Struthio camelus: one gene and its partner. The protein of the gene in region 1 purifies or fractionates together with the protein of each later gene. This does not show direct contact. Links are inferred from orthologs where the notes say so. Each region holds a gene or a part of one and is shown on either strand. Other genes may lie near its edges. The genes, in order: SCFD2 and STX18.

Evidence for each region.
Region 2: the proteins of SCFD2 (region 1) and STX18 purify together in Homo sapiens (co-immunoprecipitation; 3 studies listed by BioGRID and IntAct, counting the BioPlex papers as one, with this or other methods). This does not show direct contact. The link is inferred for Struthio camelus from reciprocal best matches to the Homo sapiens genes SCFD2 and STX18.

What each region holds. Positions count from the first base shown.
Region 1 is NC_090945.1:57,348,288-57,355,411, reverse strand, and holds the start of SCFD2 (sec1 family domain-containing protein 2), read right to left. Parts: upstream 3,106-7,124; coding exon 2,340-3,105; intron 1-2,339. UniProt on the Homo sapiens protein: May be involved in protein transport.
Region 2 is NC_090945.1:72,822,460-72,830,271, forward strand, and holds the start of STX18 (syntaxin-18), read right to left. Parts: upstream 3,095-7,812; 5' UTR 3,046-3,094; coding exon 2,881-3,045; intron 1-2,880. UniProt on the Homo sapiens protein: Syntaxin that may be involved in targeting and fusion of Golgi-derived retrograde transport vesicles with the ER.

The DNA of each region.
Region 1 (7,124 bases):
AGATACCTAACTATTTCTCATATCCGCAGCCCACATGTTGGGCAAGATTTAGGTATCAGTAAGATATCAACAAATCACATCCAAAATCCTTCATCTTCAGAGGGAGGCAATTTAAGAAGTTGTTTTAAAGGAGCCCCAAATCAGAAAGTCCACCTCAAAGACTTTCCCCTGCAACTGGTTGTTACATGAACAATACAGCTCTATTTTTACTCTGCAGACCACAAATATGTATCACAGCTTGAGAAATCCACCGGCCCAGTTGCCAGTGCCAAACCTGAAAACAGGAAGCCTTAGCTTTTACAGTGTGTAAGGCTGAAATCCTACAGACAACACTCATTCACTCCCAGGCAGAGCAGTAGGGGAAAGACTATATCAAAGGCTGCACGTGCCCAGGAGATTAAGGTTTCCCACACAATTTAATCCTGCCATTTCCCATCTCCTGATGACTGATTTTATAACTTAAATGCTGCTTTTTATGCACTTTTTACTGCCTGATTTCTAGCAAAACAGTGAAACAAATTTCATCACATGGCATCAAGTTCACATCCATATAGGGCTTTATCTTTGAGACCTAGTAGATTTCTGTCCCTTGAGTTTGGACTCCTCCTGATGGCATGAGCCTGCTGCCATGTCCAAGCAATTCAAAGCAAATGAAGGCTTCAGTGAAACCATCAATGGAGTTCTAAAGACGTTTGCTGGCACCAAAAGAATGGTTATATGAAGGGATTTTGAAGTCAGTTATAGACACTGGAGAGAATATATTTGCAAACATGAATGCTTCTGTTTCTCATCCTTACTTCAGTTTTTCAAGAGTTTCAATGTATCACCTACAAAGCTACCCCACCACAGTCCTGGTTCATTCTCCCAGCAACCTCCTTTTCCTGAAAGGCAACATCCGAGATTTCACAGATTCAAGCCCAGTACCGATTACATCCCCTCATCTCCCCTCAACAGTCTTTGTCATACAATTCCTTACCACCAAAATAGCAGTTCATTTTCCTGTCTTTTTTCTTTCCTGCCTCCCGAGCACGTGAATCTTTGCTCAGTTGCATTAGTTGCCACCCCAAACAGGCACTGCCATCACAATTCCATTACAAGGTTCTTTACCCGAGTCTACTCTCCTGTAACCTTCTCAGTAGCTTTCCCAAACCATAACACAGCATTAAACAGCCGGTTTCACAGCTGCTTTTCAGCACATCATTGACAGCTAGGAGCTTCACAGCAGTGTGAAGTTACGCAAGAACAAAATCAAGCAGGGAGGGAAACATCTATCAGAAACTGGTGTGTTGCAGGTGTGACATAGTGCCGTGCACTTGCAATGGGTCACATGGTAAAGTCATGACCTGAATTACTGACCATGCAGAATGCAAATGGAGCATTACACGTTCTGTAATAACACCAACAGTATGACGGAGCAAGGGTGAACGCAGCAGCTCCTGTATCAATTATTCTCCGAGTTCACTCTTCTCTCCAGAAGATGGTTATTCCATAAATGAGAGTCTGATACAAACTTCTTCCAGGTCACTGACCCTGCACCTTGCTGGTGCCTTGCTCAATCACACTTTCCCTTTCTGTCCTTTTGATATCACATTCTATCAACTTATAAGACATCAGATCACAGGATTAGCTTACAAGTTGATTACTATTCGAGTCATCCTCCTTCTACTAGTTTCTAAGTGGACTATTGAATCACCCTCTAAATTTCACAACTTTTGCATTATTATTAATTGGCACTATTAAAATTAGCATATGGTTCATGCTTACACTTTTGCTACCCAGAAAGGATGTTGTATAAACAATTCCGTATTGTTCTCACTGATGCATACTGTTCTCGAGTTAAAGTAAGGTACCAGCCATGTGCAACTGCATCACTCAAAGGGCAACTATAATGCTTTAGGGTATAATATGCATATACACATATATACACACTGAGAGCTGTCTATTTAGTGCATATACAGAGGCACACCTGTTCACATACACACACTGTAAAGGGTGGTAAGCATGATACATAGAGAAATAGTTCACAGTAATCCACAGAGCGTGAACTGAACCCTGCAGAACGTTTCCTTCACACCTTGGAACTGACACTTGGGCACAACTAAGGTCTCCAGCTCACTGCAAAGCAGAAAGGGCAGAAATAACTTTCCCCCACCTGCCCCGTGCATTTCCAGCAGAGACTTCACTCTTGGTTTCCACGATGTGCTGCAGAGCAACCACGGCAGCCAAGGCATTACACTTGCCCACAGGCCTCGTGGCCTCCCGCAGCCATCTGAAAAGCTCCCCACCGAGCAGCCGGGGCCCGGGGGGTTGCCAGCCCTCGCCGGTGGTGGGTTTCTTACCTGCAAGGTCCAGCGTCCTGTCCACGAAGACGACCGAGGCCCTGTGGAGGGCTGTTTTCCTCCTGTTCCTGGCCGGGGCGTAGCTCGCCAGCTCGGCGGCCACGACCCTGCTGAGGGTCCCCACGGCGAAGCTCTCCTCCCTTAGGCCCAGGGCGGCGAAGAGGGCGTCGAGGCCGCCCACGAGGGCGCGCACGGCCGCCCGCAGCTCGGCGGGCAGGGCGGCCAGGCCCAGCTCCCCGGGGCCGGGGCCAGGCCGGGGGCTGAGCCCGCCGCCGCGGTCCCGCTGGCGGGGCAGCGGCGGGAAGAGCGGCGCCAGGGCGGGCGCCAGGCACAGCTCGGCCGAGACGGGCGCCAGCAGCGGCGCGGCCTGCAGCACCACCTCGGCGCGGCCGCCCTCGCCCATCCACCGCCGCAGCGTCTCCTCCAGCTCGGCCCGCCCGCCGCCCTCCGCCTCGCCGGCCGCCACCAGCGCGCAGTGCCGCACGGCGCCCTGGCCCAGCACGCCGCGCACGGCGGCCGCCGCCCGGCCCCGCAGCGCCCCGCTCACCACGAACACGGCGCGGGCCGCCCCCGCCGCCGGCCCCGCCAGCGCCCGCACGGCCAGCGCCCCCGCCGCCAGCAGCCGGCCCGCGCCGCCGCCGCCCCAGTGCAGCGCCTCGGCGGCCGCCGCGTCCAGGAAGACGACGGCCTGCGGCGCGCGGGCGAGCACGGGCTCCCAGGCCTGCCGGCAGGCGGCCCGCACGTCGGCGGCGGCGGGACCCGCCATGGCGGGGCGGCGGGCGGGCAGCGCTGACAGCCACAACACTGCACACGTGCCGCCGCCGCGCAGCGCCCGGCGCCGCCGGACGACGTGGCGGCCCCGCATTGGCTGGCGGCGGGTGGGGGCGGGGCAGCGCCCGTAGCCGGGGGCTCGCGGCCCCCCTCCTCTCCCACCTCGCGCGCTGCTGTGGTAACGGCCCCGGCGGTGTCGTCACCCCGCTCGCCTGCCCCGGGCAGCGGCCGGCAGGGAGGAGGAGGAGGAGGAGGGTGAGGGAGGCGCGGCCTTGTCCTCCGAGGGGGGCGGCTCGCGGGAAACAAACTGCCGGGCTCGGGCTGTGAGAATGTAAAGCGTCTCCTAGGCAGTTAAGAAGCGTGTGTACGAGCGCGCAGACAGACGGAGGGACAGACCGGCCTGAGGTGGAGATCAAAGGAACAAACAAACAAACAAACCCTCCCAGTAAACAGGCTATTTTACAGTAAGCCGTTGCCCCGGTGTAGTCCTTTTGCACAGCCACCACTGTGAAGGCCCAGCCAAGGGAATGGCACATGAACAGGAAGGAGCGGTCACGGCCAGACGGGAGAGGAGGAGCTGCTTTAGCCTGGACATCTCCCGAAAAACTATTCACCAATCCATTCAGTGGTTTTGTTATCTCTTCGGGGGGGGGGGTGTTTTCAGTCTTCCCCAAGACTTAACTTCAGCCACTTCTCAGGTCTAGGTTTGTTACTTGGCCACATGAACACCCTGATAGCAAAAGCAGTAAATCCCTGAGAGGTGAGAGGGTAGCCCCCTGCCCACCTTCTTTTGGTGGCAGTGCCAAATTCTGTCAATGTAAGCTGTTTGTGAGATCATGGTTTTCTGTAGTCTACAGTTTACATTAAGAACTATACTGCAGCCTGTAGTCCTAGCCAGAACCAGGAAGGATGTCTAAGCACTGACTGACAATTTAGTTGTGCCTAACATACTTTCTGATAAGGCTAGAAACCTCTTCAGCCTTGCTACTACTGGTAAATGTTAAAAGGACAATTCAGTGCGCCATTTAGGTCAGGATAACTATTGTGCTGGGTCAGTATCGTTGTTACAGTGAGAGAACCACCATTTTGGTGCTTTTTTTAAACATACAGCACTGGAAATCCGAAACTTCCCATCACCCTTCCCTGTCCTGGAATTCTGTATTTCTTGTATTAGTATTAACTAATCCAGTGATTCATGACCTAGCAACAAGAAATATTCTCTTTTATTACATTCAGCTTTTATTATATACAGTTGGAAGCATTTGGCAAATTAATTTAATCTATTTCTCCTTTAAGAAGCTGTTGATAACAAAATGAATTTCAAATCTAACTAGAAAAATGCAATAATGTGCATCTGCAGTTAAGTTTCCTCTCCCCAGAGACTGGACAGTTCACGCTCTTGCAGATCAGTGCTCCACATAGTATTTCACTCGGGCAACCTCCTTAACCACAGAGTTAGGAGGATATTTTTTTCTGAAGTTTAGTGGGGTTGTCAGCCATAACAAAAAGATAACTGATTAATTACTCCATTCGCTATCTCAGCTGGTCTTCTTAGGTTTCTTGCTGGTTCAGGTGGTTTCAGAATGCTGAAAAACATAACTAATGTGGATTAGGCTTCCACTAGTGAAATTAAATTCCGTTGTTCCTGTCTAACCCATGCACATTCCTACATCTGATGCCTCTTCCAAATCCCTACTTTGGGCTGTTCCAACCCCGATCTGTTATTTTAACCTTAGGGTATAAAACTTGATTATGCTAAAAAAAAGTAAGATCATAGCTTTCCGGACTATTTTGATTTGAAAAATGAATGCCGAGAAAGGACTGGTGACTGTTAACCGCTGAGCCCCTGGGCTTATACACAAGTAGAATTATCTCTAAATATCTCTGAGGTTTTGCTTTATTTCTGAGTGTGGCAGACAGAAGCTAGATATGTTATGGCTTGTCCAACTTTGGAGAGATATTGTCTTGTTTTAAAAAGTTTTAATTTAATTGTTTTCAGCTATACAGTCAAAGCAGCAGATGCTCTTTCAAGGAAATAAATAGCTTTTTTACTTAATAAATACAGTATAGATTGCAACTATTTCTGCATATGCCAGTTTTGGAAAAAAAAAAGAAAGACTACTAGCCCGAAGACAAAATTAGGTCAATCAGTGTAAAGCATTTAACCACTGTTAAATTACAAAGTAAACTTATATTAGTTGGTTTTATAGCTTATTTTATCCTATGTACAAATCTTAAGCTTTTGTGCAAAAAACAGTATTAAAGATTTCCTGTACACTTGAAATCCTGTTTTGTGTTTCTGTAGGGTAACCCATGAGTCAAGATTTACATGCAGCTTACAAAAGACCCTTCTTCTTTCCTCAGCCAAAGCTGTTAGTTACTTGGGACCTTCAGAGAAGCCTGTATTTCAGACTCCAACATAACTCCTGCGTAACAGCAGGAAGAAACTGCAAAGTCCTTTCCAGAGGCATATATGGAAATGATGGGGCTGATGGGATTTCCTGACGTTTTAGGGTAGAAGTTAAAAGACCATCTAGCCCAAGATTCTGTTTCTGGAAGCAAAGGGGAAAATGGGGTCAGAGCATCTCTTCTGCCCAACGTGGGCCAAAGTAGTGTTGGGGGGAATGGCAGCTGTCATCGGGCCTTAGCCTTGTTTTGTGTGGGCTTCCACTAGATTCAAGCTGCTTGGGAGATTTTTTTCAGATGAACTTCGTTACGTGGCCAGCGGTTTGATGTGATGACCATTTAAAGGTATTCTATCAGCAAAAACACCTTGTCAATCTGTACGACACACTTGAAAAGAGACTGTGTTCTGCACCTACTCCTGATTTCTCTCAGTATTTGTGGTGTTTTCCACAAAACTACTTTCTTTCTTCTTCCTTGTGTCTGCGCAATCAAAAATAACAAAATATAGACAGTTCTGCTTCCTCTAATGTAGCCTAAGGTCAGAAGACTGTGAAATGGTCAAGTAAAAACGAGAATGGAAATAAATAAAAAAAATTAAAAAAAAACGAGAATGGAAATAAATAAAAATATTGATGCCCTGCAAGAGGTATGATTGTATAAATTTGCTTTATGACAAACAAATGCCTACAAATGTTTTAGAGCAAAAACACCTTTGTTGACTCCACTCATGTATAAACAAAAAAAAGGGAATTGTGTGATAAAAATCCTACTCAATTGTAGCATATCTTTCATGATCTGTACATGGCGTTGAAATATTTAAAATTTACTTCAGGAGAAAAAATCCCTTCTGAGAAGGTAAGGTTTATTCACGTGAACTTCAGTGAAATGTTACGCCACAGGTAAAACTTTAAAACAAGGTCTACCACGCAGACAGTTTGAAGAAAAAGCTCCCCTGCCCCCAGTGTTGTGGTATAATACAGTCAAGCGCTCTAATCCGATTTTTCTCAGGTGGGCCTCCTGTGAGGCAGGGGTACTTTCTCAGTTTTCACAAGCATCCTAAGACAGTGAAGACTCCATTTGTACCTACAACTGGCCAAAACCTGTTTTTTAGAGTTTTTGGTACTTAATATTTCATAATGAATCTTAACAGTTGTTGATGCAACATTCACAGATGAAAAGAGAACAATCCATCACTAGAAATGGCTTGCTACTTCCCGCTGCTTTTAAGATGGAGCAATTTCTCGGTGGAACGCCTAAGTCCACTGTAACTTTTTCGTCGCGGCACACTGCGAATGTGCGAATTCTTACCGGAGCTTGGGAAAAAAACCCAAATAAATCGGATGATTAGCGGAGGAAAAGCGTGTAAGGCGTTGTTAAACCCCGCAACGTTACCTCCAGCCGCAGGGGCCCCAGAGCTGGCAGCCAGGAGAGGCGGCAGCGCCGCACGCCCGTGCCGCGCCGTCGCTCGTCCCCGGGCAGCTGCCCCGGCTGCGCGCGGGTTGGGTCCAGCCCTGCTGCCGGCGCCGGGCCCCCGCAGCCCTCGCGGCAAGCGCCCGCCGCCGGCCAGCTCCGCCGAGGGGCCGATGGGGCGCAGAGGGACACGCCGCC
Region 2 (7,812 bases), about 15 Mb from region 1:
ACTTTGCATAAAATATTTCAACATTTCCATACTTCATTGTCAAATGGAGATCTTCAACTATTACTCAACCAAATGCAGCATAACAAGAGCTCCGACTACGTATAAATTATTCAGGGTCTCCCATGTTATTCTGTGTGGGTTCTGAACGTCATTTTTTGGGACGAGTTTTAAAGATAACAGTAGTTAAAATAAGAGTTTGATATGTTCTCCAGATTTAAAAAAAAAAAATAAGTAACTGTATGTAGGCAGAGAAGGATTCGCTGGATTTTTGGGGGCTTTTAAAACTAGAAACCTGTTAAAGAATTAATGTGTATATCAGAGATTACACTTGCAAGTTAAATTGCTTAATCTTGGCAGAAGCAGCTAAACTGCTGCTAGGCTATAACAAGCAAGGCTATAACAAAGTATTTGAAAGAAGCTTTCGAAAAATACATATTCAAGTCAAATTGTATTTTGCTGAAGGAAGCACTCAAAATTATGATCAATTTTACTACAAAACCTCCCCTTTCACTGTAGTTTATATGCTGCGTTTCCCCATTAGAATTAGATCTTAGAGAAGGCCTAAAAAGCTGTCATAAATCCTTCTCCGGTCTGGTAGGTTGTTGGCTCCACTGTCACAAATACAGCTAAACTACAGGAGCAGAGACAGACCAGGCCCAATCTATTGCACTCTCTCGTACTCACTCAGCAGCAGTTAACAGGAATCACGTTCAAAGGTGCTCAGCAACACATTTTTGGCCTTACCTTTTTCTCCAAGTCATCGTTTATGCGACTACCACCAGTTAAACTCATTCTCCTCTTCCCCTCAAAAAGACTGCTCAGTTCATCCACTGTGGCATTAACTGTTTACTTCACCCTTAACAAGCTGCTGTAATTAAACAGATGCTTTTAGCCATATCTTTGCCCTTTCTATTGCCTGGACAGTGCTCCTAGGAAACTAAGAAAGGACAAGGAGCTCAGATAACAGAAGACAAGCAATAATAAATGTGAATAGGGGCAAAAAAGGAATAAGGTAGCAGAAAAAGTATACTCCTACAGCACGTCATCACAGCACAGGACTATGGCTGGGCAGCGAGGAGAGGATGAAGGTGAGGCTGGGCCTGAGTACGAACAGAACTTGAGAAAGACGACGAAACCTGGGAGGCAGCAAGTTCAAGGGAGCATTGGTGGCAGGAAGGGAAGACAGAGAAGAGAGGGGTGAGGAAGAAGAAGCGGGCACGGATCCAATCTGAGGCTATAAATTATTTGAAATACAGACTACTTCTATGATCAGAAACCTAGAAATATGGAGAGAGGCTGAAGCGAATGCAACTGCAGATAAGGAACCAAAGCGCAGACACAGACAGTACTGGAAGCAACGGAGCAGAGGGTTAAAGCTTTGGAGGAAGCGAATACAAGGCTGTGGCTATACGAATATCTAGGATGGAAGCCGACAATTCTCAAATTTCTCCCTTGCTCTGCCTCAGCAAATAACTGCAAAACACTTGGGCAGAACATCTGGACACTGTCTAGTGCTAAACCCTTAGAGGATAACAACCTGCTGCCAGCATTAGCCCAAGCGCTGGAGTTCTGAATAGCAGACTAAAAGTTGCAGTCATGTTGATGATGTAGATAAATGTCAATATGATGCCATGTGATAAAATTTCAATCCTTTTTAAAAATTCTAGGAATTCACATACACACAAATCGTGTAAAGGTTGCCCTGTTCTACTGCAAGTCTAAAGCAGTCTGTTCACTCTAAGGCTGCAGAATTTGAAATAATTTTAGCTAAATCAGCAGATGCCCCCCCAAAAAAAAGTACATCTCATGATCAAAGATCTTGAACGTAGTTTTACAGACTGGTCTTATCCCTACAGATAGATCCCTACCACAGATCTCATAGCCAATATTAAGCAAGTCACTTAAATCAACTTTTAATAGGGGATTAATAACTATATGTTCATTTAACATATACCCAAGTTGTCACCCTTCTTAAGCCTCAAAGCAATCACTGAACGACTTAAAATAAAACTTTAAGTGTTATAAAACACATTAGTTATAAAACACTATCTCTGAAATTGGAAAACAATAATTAAGTAAGACCTAAATTTAACACTAATCTCTGTCCTTGAAAACTAAACCATTCAGAACTCAGTAAACGTCAGAAACAAGACTGCCTGTGTACTCGTGGTGTAGTCCTACACTTGCACGTGCATCATGACGTGGTTTTTACACCATTATATGTCATTTTCTGTAAGAGTTTTCTCAGACAGTGCCCTGAACAGCCTTTTCCTGTTAGTTTGAATTGCAAAGTTTGGTCCAGTGCCTTAACCCAGGTGCATTACTCAAATCCCACTGAGACATCAAAACTTTTTCCCTACCATTTGCTCTGTACGGAGGAAAACAATCTACAAGAAATTTGCTTTTACAGCACTACTGCTGATTACGGATGTTATCGTTCCTGGTCAGTTTAGCTCCGTAAGCCCTCAATTCCTCAGTGCTTAGCTTTTCAACTCTTAAAATGTTCTGATTAGGTTTTTTTTCCCTCTCTCTTTTTTTTACACATGGCTCATCTAGAAATGGCACTGCACAGCCACACTGCGCAACAAGAAGAAAAACCTGAAGAGAGCACGCATATATGTACATACACATATACACACATACACTGCAGCCCCTCCCGAGGCGGCGGCGGCGGCGGCCCACGGCGCAGGAGAGGCGGGCGCGCCCCGCGGGAAGCCGCCGCCGCCGCCCTCGACAAGCTCCTCCGCCTCTCCGCGGCCAGGGCAGGCGCCCCCCAGCCGCGGCCCGCGCGGGGCCGCCGATGCCCCCCGCCCCGGACGCCTGGGCCCCCTCCTCCCCGGGGGGGGGGGGAGGGGAGGCGCAGGGCGCCGCCGCACTCACCACCTCACGGGCCCGGCTGGAGAAGTCGCTCTTGGAGCGGGCCGCGCCGCGCTTGAGCAGCTCATCCCTGGCGCTGTCGCCGGCCGCCGCCACCCCCAGCGCCTTGTTGCGGGTCTTCACCGTCTTCACGCTGGCCTTGAAGAGCAGCGTGATGTCGACGGCCATGGCGCCGCGCCGCGCCCCGCCCCCCCCCGCCGCGCCAGCCGGCGGCCGGTGCCCCCGCGCCGCCTTCCCCGCGCAACGCGGCACCGGCGCGCGCGTTCCGCCCCGCCGCAGAGCGCCGGCGCTTCCGGCTGCGGCGCGTGGGCAGGCGGCGGGCCGGGCCGGGCCGGGCCGGGGCTTAGCGGCGAGGCGGCAGCCTGGCTGCTGCCTCCTCCTAGCGAATGGCAGCGTTTGCAGAGCGAAACACGAGCTGCGTTTCGCCACCGGAGCGGGGGGAAGGGGGCAGTTCAACCTGATTTCATTTGTCTTGGCACTTGCAGCGGATGGGCAGCTGCGCTGCCTGGCAGGGCCCTGCCTTTGAATCCCTGCTCTCCGGCTCCTTCGGCCGCAACCACATATAACTTTAAGAACATAATTCGGTCTCCCAGGGTTTTTTTTTTTTTTTAACCCAGCAGCTACCTGGGGTTTCCAGGGTTTTGAATGAAAGGAAAACACCTGGCTGTTACAAAATTACCTCCCTTTAAAGACCTGTCTACGCCTGAAAGCTTTGGCAGTACAGGGACACTGCCCGAACCCCCCAAGTACACGCACACACCCCCACCAGCACACGCTTCGTTCTCTGCGCGTACAGTACTCCAGTTTAGCAAGTGAAATACTTCTTATCAACTGCATTTTCAAGGAGATTTGGCTAAAGTAGCTATGGCACGTTTGAAAAAAAAAAAAGTCATTCCAACAAAGCGTTGCAGCCTAGACCACCTAGCTGGGGTGTCACGGTAGGTGTCACCAGGTGGAGCTGTTAGACATACATAGTTTTCCAAGTTTATAGCTTGTGCATGGAAAGACAGGTTAATTAGTTGATTAATACACAACAGCAGATTTGCACTGGGATCTGGGACTGGTACTGGTGTGAGATTTCTGGAGGAAGTAGTCATATCTGTATGTATTTTGACTATTCATTCACAAACTGTATAAATAAAGTATCCTTGTTACACACCTAGGATGTGCAACAAAGATTTCTTCTCTGGGCGGAAGCTGATCTTCAGGGTCCATGAGGTCTGACACCACTTGACACTGGGACAATGTCATGTTGGTACCCAAAAGATATCTCACACTGTGAATTACAATTCACATTAACTGATTCTGAAGAAAGCTTTGTGAAATAACCTTTGCTACTATTATTACTGAGACAGATTCATTACCGTGTTCTGTCCACAGGTAGACAAGCTACTTGAAAGGAAATCGCGTGGCTCAGAGGGGGAAACTTTTGACCACACAGCCGCTGGTGGTGTTACATGTATGCCACAGCGCCCCGGGATTCAGCAGATGCTATGTACTTTTTAACTTAGCTCAAACTGACCAGAAGCACATTTCCTCACACAGACTCCACAGAACAGACCTTCAAAATTTTGCCTTTCCACAGCAAACTGGAACTTAATGAACTACGCTTATTTTTCCTACTTGCTCCATAGTAACAGGCTTTCTTCCAATATTATTTAGTACCCTGCTTTCAGTTCAGTTCTCTTCAGTTCAGTCTGAGCTGTAGATTAGTGAATCCTTCACAGTTACATTGTGATTAGTATTTATTCATACTTTGTTAATATTGTTCTAATCTAAATTGTGTTTTTATGGCAGTATGGATATGTATTTCTAATTAAAAGAATATACACTTCAAGTCACTGTCCTCGGTGCTGGATTTATAGTGAAAACATATTAAAGATAGATATTAACAAAATGGACAACTAAGGAGACTAGACTTTTCATTCCAAGAATGCCAATAGTATTTGAGTAAAACTAGAGCCAAACACCTTTGCTCTTTTAAGATTAAGAAATACAGTATGGAGATGCTTTAGCAAAGTACGTATTTAATAAAGCATGGAATTTACATTTAAATTAGATACTTTCAGGTATATGTCCTGAAATTACTTATTTCTACTTTGCATTACCAAAAGCAAAGCAAGCACACTTAAAATTCCAGGAGTGTCTCACACTGATCACAGACATGCCTAATCTGAAACTCACTGAAGACAATTCTGACATGTAAGTTTACCATTGCTATGTGTTAGGATAATTTTCAGATGCTTTGATTCTGCCATTCTTAGAGTACTAATGCCTCACTTCACAAACACCTTACTTCACGGACATTTGCACAGGTAACTTCTTGCCAACAGTAATAAGAGCTTCACAGCTTGGCCCAAAGTAATATGGTCCTGAAAATGTAAGTGGCAGAATTAAATTGTGTTTTTGTGCATACTCGGCTGTATACCGTGTTCCAGTGTTCAATGAAGTTAACATTTACACTGACTTGAAATATTGCCATTTGTTTAAGTGCCCATTGGATAAGAATGTTTGTTTTTTTGATTTTAGAATGTTGCTTTTGTACATTTAAACTGTAAGAATATCAAAGTCATTTTGAAACTTGAATCTTCATCTTACCTTCCTGGTTTTAGAAACAACAGCTTACTGGTGCCTGTCATCTTATAGTTTGTTCATTTTCTAATGAAATTTAGGTACTTATAAATAATTAAAATATTGTATATGATTTTGGATTAAAAAAAGAAACTGCAGTTCATTAAGGCAAAGTATATTCTAAAAAAACACAGTATAATTTCCCTCCCAACTTTGCAAAGACTTATACACATACTTAATCTCTGTGATACTATGAATACCACTGAGTTCAATAGAGCCACACATATCACATACGGTTAAGTGCATAACCCTTTTATCAGATCAAGATGTTGGCTGTAAACTCTTCAGGACCAAGACTGTGTCTTTATTTCTACTTTTACTTATTTATTTGGGCTTTATGTCCACAAACAACAGTGTGCATGTGACCAGCAGTTCCTGAAAAACACCCCAAAACAGTAACAGTAATATTATACAGGCTATTCTCGTACTTATACAGTCTTAAAACTTTCACTCAGGCACAAGGAAATAAATAGTAATGCATTTTTGAAAAGAAACACAGTATTAACATTCCTTACAGCTGATCTCATCTGTCAGAAATGGACTGAACAACTAATCTGGTAAAGGAAAAAGTTAAAATACCTTTTTAACCTGAAAGAAGGTTGCTCAAATGGTCTAACTCATTAGGTATATAATACCCAGGGCCTCTGCTGTAGAGATAAATAGATAGCTTTGAAGATTACAAACTACTTTAAAATCAGTTGCTAAGAACTGGTGCCCAGAGCTTTTATTTGAACTTGATCCTAGCTTCCTGTATACAGTAACTGCATCTACTCAGTAGTTACTTGCACTTCCACAGCCACCTTGTTTTGAAAGTATAAAGCTAACTTTGGAGCAGATAGGTTTCAATAGTACATGCTGGTGCTTCCTGTAATTGCTAAAAAGGCTAACCTGGAAATCTAAGATTTTTAAGGTTGGAGTAAATTTCCAAAACACACACAAAGGTCTACAGTCCCACCATAAGTGCTGCAGGTAAATGTGTAAAAATGCACGCACTGGGCACTCAGTCATGCCTCAGCAGAAGCATGCTGGGAAGAGGAAGAGATAGGAGTTTGCAAAGTATAATGGCCTTGTACGCAGCATGAGGACTGCATGATGATCACCAGGTCTTGGTGTACCTGCTTAACAGGCATGTCCAGTAAAATGCTTCGGGCAAACCTGCCAGTCAAAAGGAGATCAAAGCTTTGCTGCAGTTATCAATCAATACGTCCATTCAAGAGGGGCTGATGGGTTCATCTCTGCTCAGAGACAGGTAACTTCATGATTAGTTAAGTTCCTTTTACATGAGAGGTAAATGGAAGGGATAAAGCTCCTGCACTTCTTTCCTTCCAATGCAGTCCAGCTACTAAGGTCCTAACTTGGCCCTGACCGCAGAAAACTATACCCAGTGCATTTTATATGTTCTCTATTTTTTCTGGCATAAAAACAGTAACTTTCTTTATGTGATGATAAGGTTACAAACTGAACCAAATATCAAAAGGAAGGCAATTTCGCTTACAGTGCACATTTTTAATCACGACAAATCAAAAGAGGAGAAGCTGTATTTGATGATTGTTTAAACTTCTGAGCCAACAGCATGCGTGCTGATTGGCTTAAATTCAAAGTAAATACAGCAAATCTGTGGATGTGTAAAGAAATCTTCTCCAGTGTTTAAAAATAGGTTTGCAAAAGAGTGCAAACTGTACAAGAAAAGTACGTTCACTGTATGCAGTGATAGGAAGTGCTGTGGAAAGAATGGATCTGAACAGCATGCTTATAAGCAAGTTGTATCGTCCATGGCAACAAATACACACTACTAGAAACTGGTCCAATTGGCAGTAACATCAAGGTTCTGTTATTCCTTCTGAAACTAGACCATTAGTATTCACACCAAAAGCGAAAAAAAATAGAAACTCCTCATTTAGAACGCCTTTTTGCCTTAAAGTATTTTAGTATATATGAAGTTTACAATATAAATACAAGAAAAAATGGTAACTTGATTTTCATATTTTTCAGAGGCATATTTAATTCTTATGTACATTATATATGAAATCATTCTGTCACTCCTAATGTGGTATATCCTATCCAAACTACATCATCAAAGGAGATGTGCGTGCATGTGTGTGTTCACTGCAATTAAACTTAGACTATGGAAACTTTGAAGAGCTGGCTTCTGTATGCAGGAAGAATGTTCAGGAGACCAATTATTCATCATGTAAATTGAAACACTGTCCCTGCCCTTAAACTGTGGTATGTAAAAAGCAGTTGAAATTCCAAATGAGAAAGAAAACTGTATATCTCCATAAAAAAAAAAAAAACCTTATAGAC